3 linked regions of the Xenopus tropicalis genome follow. The protein of the gene in region 1 interacts with the protein of each later gene in a biochemical or structural test. Links are inferred from orthologs where the notes say so. Each region holds a gene or a part of one and is shown on either strand. Other genes may lie near its edges.

Region 1 (4,767 bases):
ATACATTTTTCCAGTATGCACTGCAATATTTCTTGCAAAATGTATATGGCATGTCAAGCTGAACTGAAGGGTATTCCTAGTAAAAGGTAAATGCTCAACAGTTCTTTTCTGGTTGCCAATGACCTTCTGCTTTATGATAAGATCAACAGACAGAACTGGTCTGCTTCTAGAAGCCATAAGAGAACTAAACAACCTTCTAGGCTGTACACCCTTATCTCATTACAACACCTGCAGAAAGCAGATTAAATTGAAGAGAGGCAATGAAGCAGCAGGATAGGATGATTACTCCCTTGAGACCTTAATCTTCTGTTTTCTAATAACATCTGTACAATCCGTAAATGTTCTGTGCAGGACATACTGAAATAAGCATTTCCACACTACTGCACACAATTACCTAACCATTCACAACAGCTTGTATTGAAGTTGTGTAACTTGATAAGGAATTAAATTACTGACATGACATGTCACAATTATAAAGCTGGTAACACTATTTGTTCTCAGTTTTGGTCCAGGAATATAAGGTAGAAAACATTTTTTGTCTGTAATTAGACATGTATAATTCCAGTCAATTGAAATTCTGACTGGGTGGTCAACACAATGTAGTTGAAGGCACTTATAGATAAGAGAAAAGAGATGTTTTAAAAATATTTGTTGCATTGTCTGGGCAGGAAAGGTAGCTCTTTTTTTTTTTGTAAAATCATTTAAACAGGTTTATTGTTTACTGCTATTTGCAAAGGTAAGGGATATGTAAAATGTTCTCAAGGGATCGGTTTTATTAAATATCAAACAAAAAAGTTAACACTGTAAGCCATGGCAGTCCAGTCAAATTTGACTAATATAATCACATTAATAAAGCCAGAAGCCAACTATTATAGGAACGATGATTCATAATTTCCAGTATCCTGCAATTTCAGATTAAGGCAGAAAACTTGTAAATGTACTTACCATATGTGAAACAGAGTGATTTTGTACATTTTGTTAAGTAACATGGAGTGCCCTCCTAGAATGCACTTACATGTGCAGTGAGCTCTGCTGCCAGTTGGAGTTAGGCTGATGCCACACCAGGCGTAGGGCTGATTTTTTCGGCAAGCGGAAAAAATCAGCCCTACGCCTGGTGTGGCATCAGCCTTAGTCTCTACAGAATGACAGTTATCAATGTCTCACAGCTGAAACATCTGAGGCTTAAGACTAATGCCACACGAGGCGTAGGGCGGATATTTTCGGCAAGCGGAAAAGCGCTTGCTGAAAATTCCGCCCTACGCCTCCTACATGTGCCTGCACCCGAATGAATGAGATACGCTCGGGTGCAGGCACATGTAGCCGATATGCGCATAAAAACACGAGACTTTGCATTATATATATATGGGCTACATGTGCCTGCACCCGAGCGTATCTCATTCATTCGGGTGCAGGCACATGTAGGAGGCATAGGGCGGAATTTTCAGCAAGCTCTTTTCCGCTTTCCGAAAATATCCGCCCTACGCCTCGTCTGGCATTAGCCTTACATTTATTACCATACCTGCAAAACAATGGTTCCAAATGCATGCTTCAGGATATTAACCACTTCTGCATGTGACAGCCCATCCACTGGTTGCTGGTTAATGCTGACAAGCCGATCCCCAACCTATACCCCACAAGCCCATGATAAAACATACAGGTCAGGATTAATTTCAAAAGATGGTTATTAAATATAATGCAGTACTGAATATTTTCTTTACTTTGCAATTTTGAGAATAGAAAATATTGCAAGATTAAGTAAGTACAAATTGAGAATTAACAGAATTTTGTTAAATGACAAATAAAAGGGCAGATTGGCACAATTCACTACTATAAACTTTGCCTCTACAACAAGCTGCTTAAATGTACAAGCAAAAAACGTCCTTACAGTAATATCTTCTATGGAAACAGCATAATATATAGATTGTAAGCTCTAAGGGGCAGGGACCTCCATTCTCTTGTGTCTTTGACTCTTAACTTATTGCAACTATATCTTTTATTTATTGTTAAACTTTATCTAATTTATTATTATCTTAATAACCCCGTTTGTATTAATGTATTCTACTTTACAGCGCTGCGTACAGTAGCGCTTTATAAATAAAGATATACATACATAATTCTAACATAGGCACTTGGTTTTTATAGGTCATTGCCATGTTTACCAATAAAACAAAGTATGATGAGAATGGGGCATAATTTGGTTTTCCTTCATTATGGTTAAAGGTCAATGAGAGAAGTAAAACATGTAGAACCATCTCACCATAATGTGCTTTTATTAAGACAAAATATAATTTGCTTATGCGTCATTACTGTTCGTAAAAGTCACATGGTGATAAAAACAGATACTTACTTTTAATTTGTGTGTCCGTGCTGCTACACCACTAGCTTGGATCATAGCAATGAAAACTGGGATATCTCCCAATGGGCTGCCTTTCCCTCCTGCGATACTGATCCCAAGAGCATCATAAGGGCCCTAACAAAGTGTGAAAATGGAAAGGTATTAAGTCATTGTATATTTCCCTCCAACTCTTATTATAGCAAGTGTAGTTTTTCTTTACTTACTCTATTAATTTCTACAGTCCGTGGCTCCAAGTCTGTGCCTGTATTTAAAGGGGATAGATATCTTAAATACTTATTCATTGAAAAAGTAAAAGTGAAGTGCTAAATTTAAAGGTAAAGCAAAAATAAAAAAACAAAACAAAACAAAGCACTACAATAGAAAGACAAATACAATAGGTGACCCCTGAAAGGGGCTGTCTCTAGATATTTGCTCTGAAGACATATTTCTCCTTCCCACAAGTTATCTGGATTACAGCCATATATAATACTATATTATTCTCTTCTGCAACACTGCCATGCTGTATATCACACAAGTAAATAGAGAACAACACATTAAAAAGGAAAACAAATGAAGGTGAGACATCACCCTGGTTCAGTAACTGCATTTCCATGTAGTCTTGACTGCAGTTCAGTTCAGAATACTGGTACTCAGAGTAAGGAATGTATTTGCTTATACTGGCTCCACCATGTATTTGTTTATTTAATTGTCCATTAGCAAAATGGTTGTAAAAATAAAATGAAATGGTAACAAAATATTAGGAAAGACAAACAAGCAATGGTCGTATGGTCCTACTAATCAATCACAGTACTGCGTACACAAATTTATTTCAGACACTCTGAATGCTAAACCTTTAGAATAGTAGTTAGGGCACAGCGAGCACAGAGAGACAGTAAGACTGAATGACCATTTACTGACTCAAAAATTATACCCAAGACTTTCTGATGATTTTAAAGTATATCTGTAGTATTCTTTGTCTGCTTTATCTTTTCAGAACCATTCCTTCTCTCTTTAATGCCACATATGTCACAGGCACAATAACTCCAAGCCACTGTAAAAAGGTAATAGAATTGTAGTACTGCACAGTATTTACCAGAATGCCTTTGTGATGAGTCTGCAGAGGATTTCTTGGAGCTAGCATAGTCTTGCATGCTGGAAATAACTGGAGTTAATGATGGAGGAAGAACACCATGGGAACTCATTTGGTTGATCTAGAGTGCAATTCAGTAATATGTTCTTCAGTTTAAATGGTACAAACAGACATTACATCCATGCATTACTTAAGAGGCAATAAAAATATTTTTTATATTTCTTTAGGTGAAATTTCCCCAAGTGGCTGCAAGTTACATTTATACCACAAATGGATACACATTTTGAATTAACCCGTAAACTAGCATATAATATAATTTATAACACAACAAATAATACTAGTTGTTAAAATAAAATCTGGCTAGGTTAATGAGAATAAATACACATTATTTCCTTCTACTAACACAATTATTGTGTTTATTATAGGCTTGCATATTATCTGACCTACATCTTGCTTTTTCTCACTTACTCTTTGTATGTCTCTAGAAATCTAGAACAGTTACTTGCAAAAAGTTTTAAACAATGAACAACCAGATTATTTAGGCTTGTTAGCAGTGTATCCTCTGGCTTCTCTGCATTACAAGTCTCTATTAATATTATGTTTTTAGCTATTTTAGGAATCTTTGAAAGTGCCTATTATTTTAATATCTGCCTTTTGCCTTTCTTTGGTCTGAAATACTTAGTGTTCTAGTTCAGAAACAGTGAAAGAGCTATAGACTGGGAAACTCAAGAATGAAAAGTACTGCTACAAATAAATACCCATTTTTCAAACAAGGCTAGTTGCTCTACAATTAGTTGTTACACTATTTTGGGCCAATATACAGCCCAAAAAGCCAATACAGTCAACGGGTCTTCTGTGTGGATTCTTATATTGAGTGAAAAAAAAATGACTTTTAGATCTAATAAAGAATTACCTGTTACTTACAATACAGATACAGTTGTACGGTTTCACAGGTTATACAATAAAGCACTTAAATAAATATACAGAAACTACATTGCTGCTTTTGTACTATATTGTACGCTGCCATAAAAGGCTCACAAAATAACAGAACTACCTTTTTTTTACACTGTTAACCTGATACTGTATTCTGGTCAGACATTCTTTAAATTACCTGGGGAATATGGTGAACATTCCATTGATATATAGTATTGCAGTATCTGACTCCAGATTATGAATCACAAAAATATATTTTATATCAATCATGAATACATAAAGAGGAGGGGGAGAATCAGTAACCGACCTGACTGGCTTCAAAGGTTTTTTTGGATGCAAGCCAAGATCCAACTCGAAGTCTTCCAATCTCTAGATGTACAAGTCCTTGAGCACACTTGAGATAAAACAG
Region 2 (5,208 bases), on another chromosome or scaffold:
TGCTGTTGTAGCTGTTGTATTGAAGTTACTCCAGACTCCTAAAAGCATGCATAAACACATATTTTAAAGCACTTTAAAGAGGCCCAACGAAAGTGCACCCAAAGCTTAACAATCAGAGACATTATTTGCATTTTTGAATGAGTTTGTTGCATAGGAATAAATGTAATTTGCCTATTGGGTACATACCCAGAGAGGGATATGGTTTCTGCCCTGTGTCAAAAGCAGACTTTTCCACAGAAAATGTCACCTATTATGAAATAATAGTAGACAAAATGAATGTAACTAGCCCTACAGATGTTAAATTAATTTTGACCAAAATCTGCTTGGAATTGAGCCAGCGCCGGCTTGTGGATACAAGAGCTTGCAATCTAATTCTTCTCATTCTTGGATAATACTAGGAACTATACTTCCAACCAAGGACAAAGCATCACCCATTAGGGCTGATTCACTAAAGTGCGTTAAAACATGCGTTATTTATAGCATGCATAAAAAATGTTATCGCGTCTAATTTTTCGCGTCTTAGCGCACGATTCACTAAAAGGATATTTGCGCTAATTTACGCGCGATACTGCTTGCGTTATTTTAGTCACGAAGACTATTTTCATGCAGTATTTGATGGAACGAGCGCTAATCAACGCACCGCGTATAAATAGTTGCCGCGTGTGAAAAAACGCACGCCATGTTAGCCGTACATGCCAATACTTTCGGAAAATTACTGTACTGAAAATGCCCATTTCCCTGCAAACTGGCGGCTGCATCACTCTGGGGCCAACACAGACTTGAATAAATCTCACTGCAAAGTCCATATTGTGTTGCCAAAAGCTCATTAACTGTACTTTTCTATAATTACCGCCTGCCTCAAGTAGGTGTTAATTTTCGCACAGACTAATGCGATATTTAGCGTGTCTCAGTGTTTGTGAATCATGCGTTAGTATTTATTTCTGCTTGCAAATTAACGCATGCGGTAGCGCGAAATTTAACGCATGCGATATGCGACTTAATGCACGCGATACTATTGTAGCGAATTGCGTGTTCATTTTTGTGTCTATTTTAACGCAAAAAAGCATGTGATAAAAATTAACGCACTTTAGTGAATCAACCCTATTGGCTTTTGTTGTCTAATTCCCGTGACTTCTAGAAGGAAACTTATAGTTACCATAACTGGAAGTGGAGTGGATCAGGGCTCTAGAACCTGTGGCAAGAAATGAGGTCCAGGAGCCGCTCCTCTATCCAGTTGTAGTGAATAAACCTAATTTACCATGATGCAACCTAGTGATGGTCAGCATTGGCCCAAATTCCTCAGCTTTACCGCAACCAGTATCATGGAGATCCCTATTGCTGGCATCAGTGACAGGGAGGGATCCTATTATAAGGGCAGGCACAGGAACTAAAGCAACAGGTCCAACTGACCCAAGCCAAGCCATTGACCTAAGCAGCCCATAGGAGGACCTGGCACACTGGGAACCAATTTGTCTATTGTACAGCAGCAGTTTACCTTGAATGAAATGTTAGCTTGATGCATGTTGTATTCAGAAATGTAAAACAAAATGACAATGGCATTACATATCCTGTGCATCCAGGGACAGAGTAGTCAGAATTTGTTTTAAAGTAAACTCTCCTATGAAGGAGTATAATATAATATTTTGTGCTGATTCCTGAGAGGTGGGGAAGCAGATTGTGCTGCACTGGCCTTTCCTTGTTCGGGTGTAGCTCTCAGAGCTTTGGCATCTGATACAAGACATGCAAATGGGAGTCATTTTAAGTTCCGCTTCCCATAAAGCTGCTGTTTCCCCCGGGGGAAGTTCTGTCACTGTCACAGTGTAATATTTACTTATCCAAACAGCTCCCACCGACTCCCCCCTCAGGCACCTCTGCCTTTCACTCTGCCTTTAGCTCTACCCTTAGCTCTGGGCTGTGCCCGATAGCTGGATGCGCCACCTATGGTTGCTGTTGGTACTGCAGGAGGCGGTGCGCTGGTGGGAGAGTTGCGCTCTCTGAAAGCCGCCTGGTGGGACAGTTCTGCCGGAGGGAGACGGGCTGAATCCGGCGGGATTAGCTGCTGTGCGCTGGGAGGGAGGGAGACCAGGAGCCTAAGGAGGAGGAATAGCGGCACCGGAGAGAAGTCCGGAGTATAGGGACACGAAAAGAGCCGACTGTCGTGGCGGCGGGAGAGGGTAGAAAGTTAGGAAGGAAAGGTAAGAAAAAGTGATGATTTGCTGCTGCCACTGTGGGGCAGGGGAGAAATAGAAGGCAGGGGAAGGTACGGGAGCAGTCAGAATGTAGGCAGGGAAAGTACGCGAAAAGTGAGTATAAATGGCCGGGAAAGTTGGGTAATACTGTAGGGAGGGCAGAATTGTGGGAAGGGAAAGGTGAGGGGCAATTGATGGCAGTGTAAGTAGGGGATAAGGATACGTAATAGTGTCGGTAGGAGAAGGGGAAGTGTGGGCAGGGGAGAAATAACTGTGTGGGCAGGGAGTTATGGGGATAAGTACTGATAGCATGGGCAGGTAGGTAGGGGGAAATAACTGTGTGGGCAGGGAGTTATGGGGATAAGTACTGATAGCATGGGCAGGTAGGTAGGTAGGGGAGAAATAACTGTGTGGGCAGGGAGTTATGGGGATAAGTACTGATAGCATGGGCAGGTAGGTAGGGGGAAATAACTGTGTGGGCAGGGAGTTATGGGGATAAGTACTGATAGCATGGGCAGGTAGGTAGGGGGAAATAACTGTGTGGGCAGGGAGTTATGGGGATAAGTACTGATAGCATGGGCAGGTAGGTAGGTAGGGAGAAATAACTGTGTGGGCAGGGAGTTATGGGGATAAGTACTGATAGCATGGGCAGGTAGGTAGGTAGGGAGAAATAACTGTGTGGGCAGGGAGTTATGGGGATAAGTACTGATAGCATGGGCAGGTAGGTAGGTAGGGAGAAATAACTGTGTGGGCAGGGAGTTATGGGGATAAGTACTGATAGCATGGGCAGGTAGGTAGGAGGGGAATAACTGTGGGGGCAGGGAGTTATGGGGATAAGTACTGATAGCATGGGCAGGTAGGTAGGGGGGGAATAACTGTGGGGGCAGGGAGTTATGGGGATAAGTACTGATAGCATAGGTAGGTAGGTAGGGGGGAAATAACTGTGTGGGCAGGGAGTTATGGGGATAAGTACTGATAGCATAGGTAGGTAGGTAGGTAGGTAGGTAGGGGGGAAATAACTGTGTGGGCAGGGAGTTATGGGGATAAGTACTGATAGCATAGGTAGGTAGGTAGGTAGGGAGAAATAACTGTGTGGGCAGGGAGTTATGGGGATAAGTACTGATAGCATGGGCAGGTAGGTAGGGAGAAATAACTGTGTGGGCAGGGAGTTATGGGGATAAGTACTGATAGCATGGGCAGGTAGGTAGGTAGGGAGAAATAACTGTGTGGGCAGGGAGTTATGGGGATAAGTACTGATAGCATGGGCAGGTAGGTAGGGAGAAATAACTGTGTGGGCAGGGAGTTATGGGGATAAGTACTGATAGCATGGGCAGGTAGGTAGGGGGGGAATAACTGTGGGGGCAGGGAGTTATGGGGATAAGTACTGATAGCATAGGTAGGTAGGTAGGGGGGAAATAACTGTGTGGGCAGGGAGTTATGGGGATAAGTACTGATAGCATAGGTAGGTAGGTAGGTAGGGGGGAAATAACTGTGTGGGCAGGGAGTTATGGGGATAAGTACTGATAGCATAGGTAGGTAGGTAGGTAGGGGGGAAATAACTGTGTGGGCAGGGAGTTATGGGGATAAGTACTGATAGCATGGGCAGGTAGGTAGGTAGGGGAGAAATAACTGTGGGCAGGGAGTTATGGGGATAAGTACTGATAGCATGGGCAGGTAGGTAGGTAGGGGGGAAATAACTGTGTGGGCAGGGAGTTATGGGGATAAGTACTGATAGCATGGGCAGGTAGGTGGGCAGGGGAGAAATAACTGTGTGGGCAGGGAGTTATGGGGATAAGTACTGATAGCATGGGCAGGTAGGTAGGTAGGGGAGAAATAACTGTGTGGGCAGGGAGTTATGGGGATAAGTACTGATAGCATGGGCAGGTAGGTAGGTAGGGGAGAAATAACTGTGTGGGCAGGGAGTTATGGGGATAAGTACTGATAGCATGGGTAGGTAGGTAGGGGAGAAATAACTGTGTGGGCAGGGAGTTATGGGGATAAGTACTGATAGCATTGGCAGGTAGGTAGGCAGGGGAGAAATCCAGCAGGGCATATGGGTGGAAGGGACAGTGGGTGGGTGGCACCAACATTACACCTATTATATACGGAAAGGGGTAGGGGTGTCTGGGGGCTGTCAGGATAACTTTCCTGGAGATATTTTTTTATTATTGCGCAAGGGCAATTTACCCTTACTAATGAGGCATTAGAGCAGATTCACCATTCTCCTTTTTGTATCTTTTCCCTTACACCAACTTTTCCTCCACTAATTGGCAAGGAGCAAACCAGGATATCTGCATTTATCAGTGCTCATGTTAATGTCTCATTAGTAAATGCAATTAACTCGCTGCAATTTTATCATTTTCTTTAATAGAATTGCACCTCCTCCCATCGGTCTGTTGCCTCCAGGCTGGGCAGTGTGCTGCTATAAGAGCTTGGAGATCCAGTGCCCAAACAGTGTGCAATAAGCGTGACAGGACCAAAGCAAAGGGCCCGTGGGTGTGTATATATCCGAGTCAGAATCAAGGTGTGTGTGTGGATCAAGAAGCTGCTCCCCAAGGCTGTATTGGCTGCCCGGCACCTTGGAATGGCAGAGGGAAAGGAACATGTCCTGGCAGAGCTCTAGTTCCACCGCTCCTTCTGTGTAACCTTCTCGCCAGCTCCCTGCTGCTCACCTGAATCATCTGCTTGACTGCAACCTGAGGTAAGCACAGCCGGCAGGCACAGTTTAACCCATCGCTGACTGTCTGGCCTGAAGTGTGTTGCTGGCCTACAGATCCAGGAACTTAGTTGTTAAACGTGTATTATTCTGCTGAGGGCTTTCCGCAATTTTGAAAAGTTTAGTTCAACTTCATAATTTTGAATTTCCTGGTGTCACAGTGCACTGTATGTTATGATTGTATTACAGTGGCCCTTGCTTTCCTCTACTGCTGCAATTTCTGTTATATCTTATAGGAGTTTAATATAAATATAATCTATAGGGTTGAATAAAAGCAATCATTTACTATCAAAGGTCTGGGGG
Region 3 (5,563 bases), on another chromosome or scaffold:
GCGGTAGATCACCTTCCTGAAATTCGGAGCTTTCTGGATAAGGGGATCCTATACATGTACAATAATCAGCATATAACATGTGGCACCCTCAATAAAAAGAAATTTGAGACCTCTGAGTAAAAGCCATTCATTACATAACCAGTGCTTACCAATACGAGATGGGGACATTTGCTATAGTTTATGACCAAACTGCAGGACAGTAATGTATTTCAAGACAACTTTGATTTGATTAGAAACTAAGCTGTTACAAATGTCTGTTTCACACAAGGGAGGAGGGCTAATTTGTGTAAAGCATGCAGCCTTCAGGGCAAATGTTTTGGCTGGTTTGATCTTGTCTGAGCAGCACAAATTTGTGAGAACCTGCTTGTTTTGTGTCTTGCAGCTACTCACCTATACAAGAATGAGACTGAGCAATTAAAGCAGGGATTGGTCTTCTTTACATGTTCCAAAATGGTTTTTTGAATGAGTTCAGTAGAACATTACATTTGTTCCTCAGTATAACCTAACTTGCTTTACAGCTCCCTTCTTGTTATAAAATGTTTGAATATTGGTTCTTAATAAATAAAGAATAATAATAAAATAATATGCAATGTCAGCCCTAATGCAGACTAATGATAGCACCTTAGATCCATTGCAGAGTCCTGTGCTTCTACCAGGGCAGGAAGATTTGCAAGAGACAAGGACTGTTCAGTTCCTTAAGCAATGTCTTTTAATAATTAAGACTTTTGCTTTAACTGTCAGGCTATTCTGCTTACTTACAACAGCTACATATTCCTGAAACATTAACCAGGCATAAACATTTGTTCTCATCCAGGCCAAATGCATTTGGCACATTGGCATTGTCAGAGAAAGTTGCTTTCTTATTAGTATTAAAAGGACCAGTGTTTGGGATTAAGTGTAGATGTCCTCAGTTGATTTTGAGGTTACAAGTCTCCTTTATGGTTGTGTGTCTTAGTTTTACTAACTAATTGTTATCTGTATTGTCCAACATATACTGATAAAATCATATTAAATAATAATAAAAAACATAAATGAAAGATTATTGTATAAAGAATGATCAAATATTTTTGGATGCTACACAGGGGTATCAGTGTATTATAAGCAGGACACACCTTAACTGATTGTATTATGAAGGAATCTTGCAGGAGGGGCTGCTTGTTCTCTGCTTTGTGAACTTAGAATAACTGGTGAACTATCAACATCTAAGAAACATAAGAAAAAGAATCCTGCCCCCCATATGGGCTCCCAGTCTTTGAGTTATCCAAAAACAACATTCCCTTAGGAAGGATGTTATCCTTTGTGCAAAGAAAAATACCTAACTCTAGCCCTTTATAAACAATACTAGGGTGTCCAGCAAGGAGGCAGCTATTTTCATATATAATTCTCTTGTGTTCTCAAGTGGATCCTTTTAACCCATTTACAACTGCCACACAGGGTCATTCTGTTCTGAAAAATGTTCATAAAACCTGAACATGGCCTCAAGCTGTTCATGGACACTACAAATGAAGCATGTACTCTGGCAGTATTAAAACAAAATATGATACCATGCAGCTGCTGGAAATAGCAACTCCCAACATCCTCTATTGTTTGCATGCTATTAGAGGATACTGGGAGTTATGATTCACTAGAAGGTTCAGCACTCCTGTTTTTTAATACATCACAAAACAAATCTTCAGGAGTTCTGTAACTTGAGGCATTCTTCATTTCATGGTTAGTGTTATGGACTATTTCATATAACACCAGGTACCTTCTCTTTGGACAACCTAATATACTTATGTTCAATGTTTTCCATAGCCAGATGGCTGTCATGTCACGTTTAGACTATTTCATATAAAACCAGGTACCTAACTGTGGTCAACCCAATAAACCCAATAAATCCAATAAATCGCAATGAAATAAGCAGGCTGCTTATCAATGAGCCATCAATAGAAGGTGATCTTGCCAAGCCTAATAGCATTTCTACCTCGAAACAAATGTGTTTTACTTATTGACTTAGAATTCATGATTTTCAGCAGGCTACAATTATTTTGTCATATTACCAGCAAGTTAAGATAAACACCATGCCAATGTATTATAATAATATTTAAATTGAAGCTGGTATTTTATAACACCAACATAAACTTGTCATTTCATTGGTAATAACTGGATGATTCGTTGTCAAAGGTGTAGTGGCACTTAGAGTATAATTACACATACTCTATCCATCAATTTTTATAGCTCAGTTTCTCTGTTGTCATCAAAAATTCTTGTTTCAAATGTAAAGTAGTGGACTATCAACAAAGAAGGGAATGTAAAAGGACAAAGGCCTGGACCAAACATATCAGAGCATGTATAAATTGATATACAGGTATTGGACCCCTTATCCGGAAACCCATTATCCAGAAATATCTGAATTACGGAAAGGCCATCTCCCATAGACTCCACTTTAATCAAATAATTCCCATTTTTATAAATGGTTTCCCTTTTTCTCTGTAATAATAGAACAGAACCTTGTACTAGATCCCAACTAAGATATGATGAATCCTAGTTGGAGCCAAAACAATCCTATTGGGGTTAATTACTGTTTAAATAATTTTTTCAGTAGACTTAATGTAGAAGATCTGAATTACAGACAGACCCCTTATCCAGAAAACCCCAGGTCCCAAGCATTCTGTATAACGGGTCCCCTACCTGTATATATATATAGAGAGAGAGATAGAGAGAGAGAAAGAGAGAGAGAGAAAGAGAGAGAGGGAGAGATTTTGAAAGACAGTGCACACGCCCAGGTGCTGCGGCCCAGGTGCTGCCACAAAAATAATATCAGCATGTAGAGCACTCATGTACCTAAAATTATCTGCGTTCAATTTGTGCACATAATTTAAGTCCAATGAGTGCTCTGTGTTCTACATGCTTATATATATATATATATATATGCACACATACTTTTGAGCATTTAAGATAGCCATAGAAATATATATTATCAAATGAAATTAAAAAAAAATCTACTTACTGTCCAGCTTCAGCAGCGAGTCATAGGTTTTGCACTGCATCTGCCCTGTGCTCTGCATTACACAAGACATCCAGAGTCCTTCATAGGTGATCTGTGCTGTGATAATGGCATCCCCAGCAAACGATGACATTTTCCATTGAGGGATTGCAATACATACTATAAACCCAATCCAGCCCAGACAAGCTAAGGCGAATCCTAAAAGTTGCAAGCCTGCGTTGGCCATCCTTTTGAGTGGATAAAATAAGTTACCACTTGGCCACCCTCTGAAGCAGGAGCTTGTCCGCTCTTCTGTAGTCTAAGGAGGACCTTTAAGTAAATGTAGACTGAAAATTTCTCAAGTCAGAAAAAAGTGGAGAAGGAAGAGTTCATCAGTGGTCGTCCAGGTCTATCTTCTAACTGAAAACTTCTGCTTATCTGCCTTATTTAAAGTGACTTGAGTTCTCCTCCCAGTGGCAGTCCTTAGAATTGCATTGGCTCAGCAGGATAATCATTTGCAATGAAAGACTCATCACCACCTCCCACCACATTTGTGACACCACAAATGTTTTTTTCTGCTTGCTTTGACTGCAGGGGAGTTAAAAGCAAAGCTGATTCCAGCAATGTAGTCATTGTTTTGTCCTCATCCATAATACATATTTTTTAAGCCAGGTGTTTTTCACCAAGCTATAGAACAGCCATAGAATTTGCAAGAGCTTTAAACAATGCAGTGGAAAAATAAATGAATCAGACACATTAAGAGTAATGGTTGCTGACAAACTGTCTCATTACAGACTTTGTAACTCAGTTGCGGTCAGTGTCAGAGGTTTTAGCCCTGTGTGTTTGGGCTAATAAAAGACATGTTAGGCAAAACATCATAACAAATATTTCAGGCTAAGACTTTTTTTATAAACACAAGAGAAAATTGTTAATTACAAAATACTTAACTGTTACCCAGGACTTGTATCTGGGGGCAGTGCTTGGTGGGTGCAAGGCAGCCCTGGCGCTCTTTATATCATATGTGATGACAAGCAAGTTAGGGGGTGGGTTAAGGAAAACCTACAAGCTTCCCCTAGCCCACCCCTTATAAATGCAGCACTGTATTCATTGGGAAAACATAGGTCCTTGTGTTCCATTTGGGCGATCATGACAAAGGCGGTGTGCACAATGCAAAAACATGGCTGCTTGTTCCTGCTTTTTTGCACATTGTGCCCTGATCCCCAGTTTGTAAATGTATTTGTGCAATCCAGAAAGGTACCTGCTTCCATATATGCTCCTGAAATTACTATCAGCAAGGTTGCAGCAATAGTTGCAATTTCCTTGTATTAAATGCATTAAATGCTAATGCTTTTATTAACTTCATACGCAGGTGATACATTCAAACACAAATCCAGGGAACATAATTTCCAAAAATGCCCACTAATTTGTATCTATTGGTGCATCATGAGCAAGTTGAGGTAGGTGCAAGTTAGAGGGGTAGTTCAATCAAACCACTGCCTGGTTCCTAAGGTAATTTATATTCTAGCAACCAGATAGCTGCTAAAATTCGAAACTGGAATGCTGCTAAACATAATAAACTGCGAAAACACTGCATTGTGAGTAAAAATCATGGCAACCAGGGCCAGAACCAGGGAAAGGCAGATGAGGCAGGTGCCTAAGGCCCACAGAACGGGGGGGGGGGGGGGGGGGGGGTTTAGGCATGTACCCCTCCCTTCTGTCTACCCCTAGTTCTGCCTCCTACCAGCTTATCACTATAGCTTATTGAATCACCTTCTACTCATCACCACAGGGGGATCTCAACTTGCCCATCACTCCTACTTGTTTCCTCCCCCCTCATCACTGCATCGCGCAACTACAGAGGGAATGTCAGGGTTTGATCAAGGGTGGGGCTTGCCTTGGGTGCCTAATACCCTTGGCCCAGCACTGATGGCAGCTAGTGATGAGCCAGGCATTGGTTCGCGTAGAATTTCTGCGTTTCGTGGACTTTTTCATGAAACGGGCGCAAAATTTCTCATAAAAAAAAAATCACACATGCGCGTCACAAAAAATGATTGCGCGTTGAATTGTTTTGCCACTTTTTATTTTTTTTTATTCTGGCGAAGTGAAATGGGACAGATTCACTCAGCACTAATGGCGGCTACCATTTTAATTTTGCACTTTGCACATTGCACTGCATTAGTAAATCACCCTCTTTATATGTTAATTTCTCTACATTAACATATAGTACTTGAATATCTGAAACTGTATCTGTTTTGTTCTTCAGCCAGCAAATTGTCTGAACAGCCAGCACATTGTCTGAACATGATCCTAGCTTTCTAATGTAAGACTACTCTGTCAAACCTTCAGCAGTAAAGTTCTTCAAACATTTATATATTTACAGTGATATTTGCAGCTGCACTGTTCACAGCTACATTGTTCCTTCATTCACATTGGCCCCTCTGTAAGAAAAATTTTCTGCTACTAATTTCTCTGCATACTGTATGTACAACAGGAGCATGGTGCTTTGTTGTAAATCAACATCACTTCCAGCATATAGTAGTGGGGCTTAGAGTGTAAAAACAGTAAGCATTGACAGAGAAAACTTGTGTGTTGATATCA

What was found. The genes of interacting proteins can lie anywhere in the genome.
Region 2: the proteins of patj (region 1) and tanc1 interact in a test that uses a peptide from one of them, tested with the Homo sapiens proteins (2 studies listed by IntAct, with this or other methods). The link is inferred for Xenopus tropicalis from reciprocal best matches to the Homo sapiens genes PATJ and TANC1.
Region 3: the proteins of patj (region 1) and cldn1 form a complex in vitro, tested with the Homo sapiens proteins (2 studies listed by BioGRID and IntAct, with this or other methods). The link is inferred for Xenopus tropicalis from reciprocal best matches to the Homo sapiens genes PATJ and CLDN1.

What each region holds. Positions count from the first base shown.
Region 1 is NC_030680.2:85,651,538-85,656,304, forward strand, and holds part of patj (inaD-like protein), read right to left. Parts: intron 4,753-4,767; coding exon 4,666-4,752; intron 3,547-4,665; coding exon 3,429-3,546; intron 2,598-3,428; coding exon 2,560-2,597; intron 2,471-2,559; coding exon 2,348-2,470; intron 1,625-2,347; coding exon 1,520-1,624; intron 1-1,519.
Region 2 is NC_030685.2:73,466,696-73,471,903, reverse strand, and holds the start of tanc1 (protein TANC1), read left to right. Parts: upstream 1-1,845; 5' UTR 1,846-2,195; intron 2,196-4,560; 5' UTR 4,561-4,890; intron 4,891-5,208. UniProt on the Homo sapiens protein: May be a scaffold component in the postsynaptic density.
Region 3 is NC_030681.2:104,248,012-104,253,574, forward strand, and holds the start of cldn1 (claudin-1), read right to left. Parts: upstream 3,364-5,563; 5' UTR 3,213-3,363; coding exon 2,990-3,212; intron 1-2,989.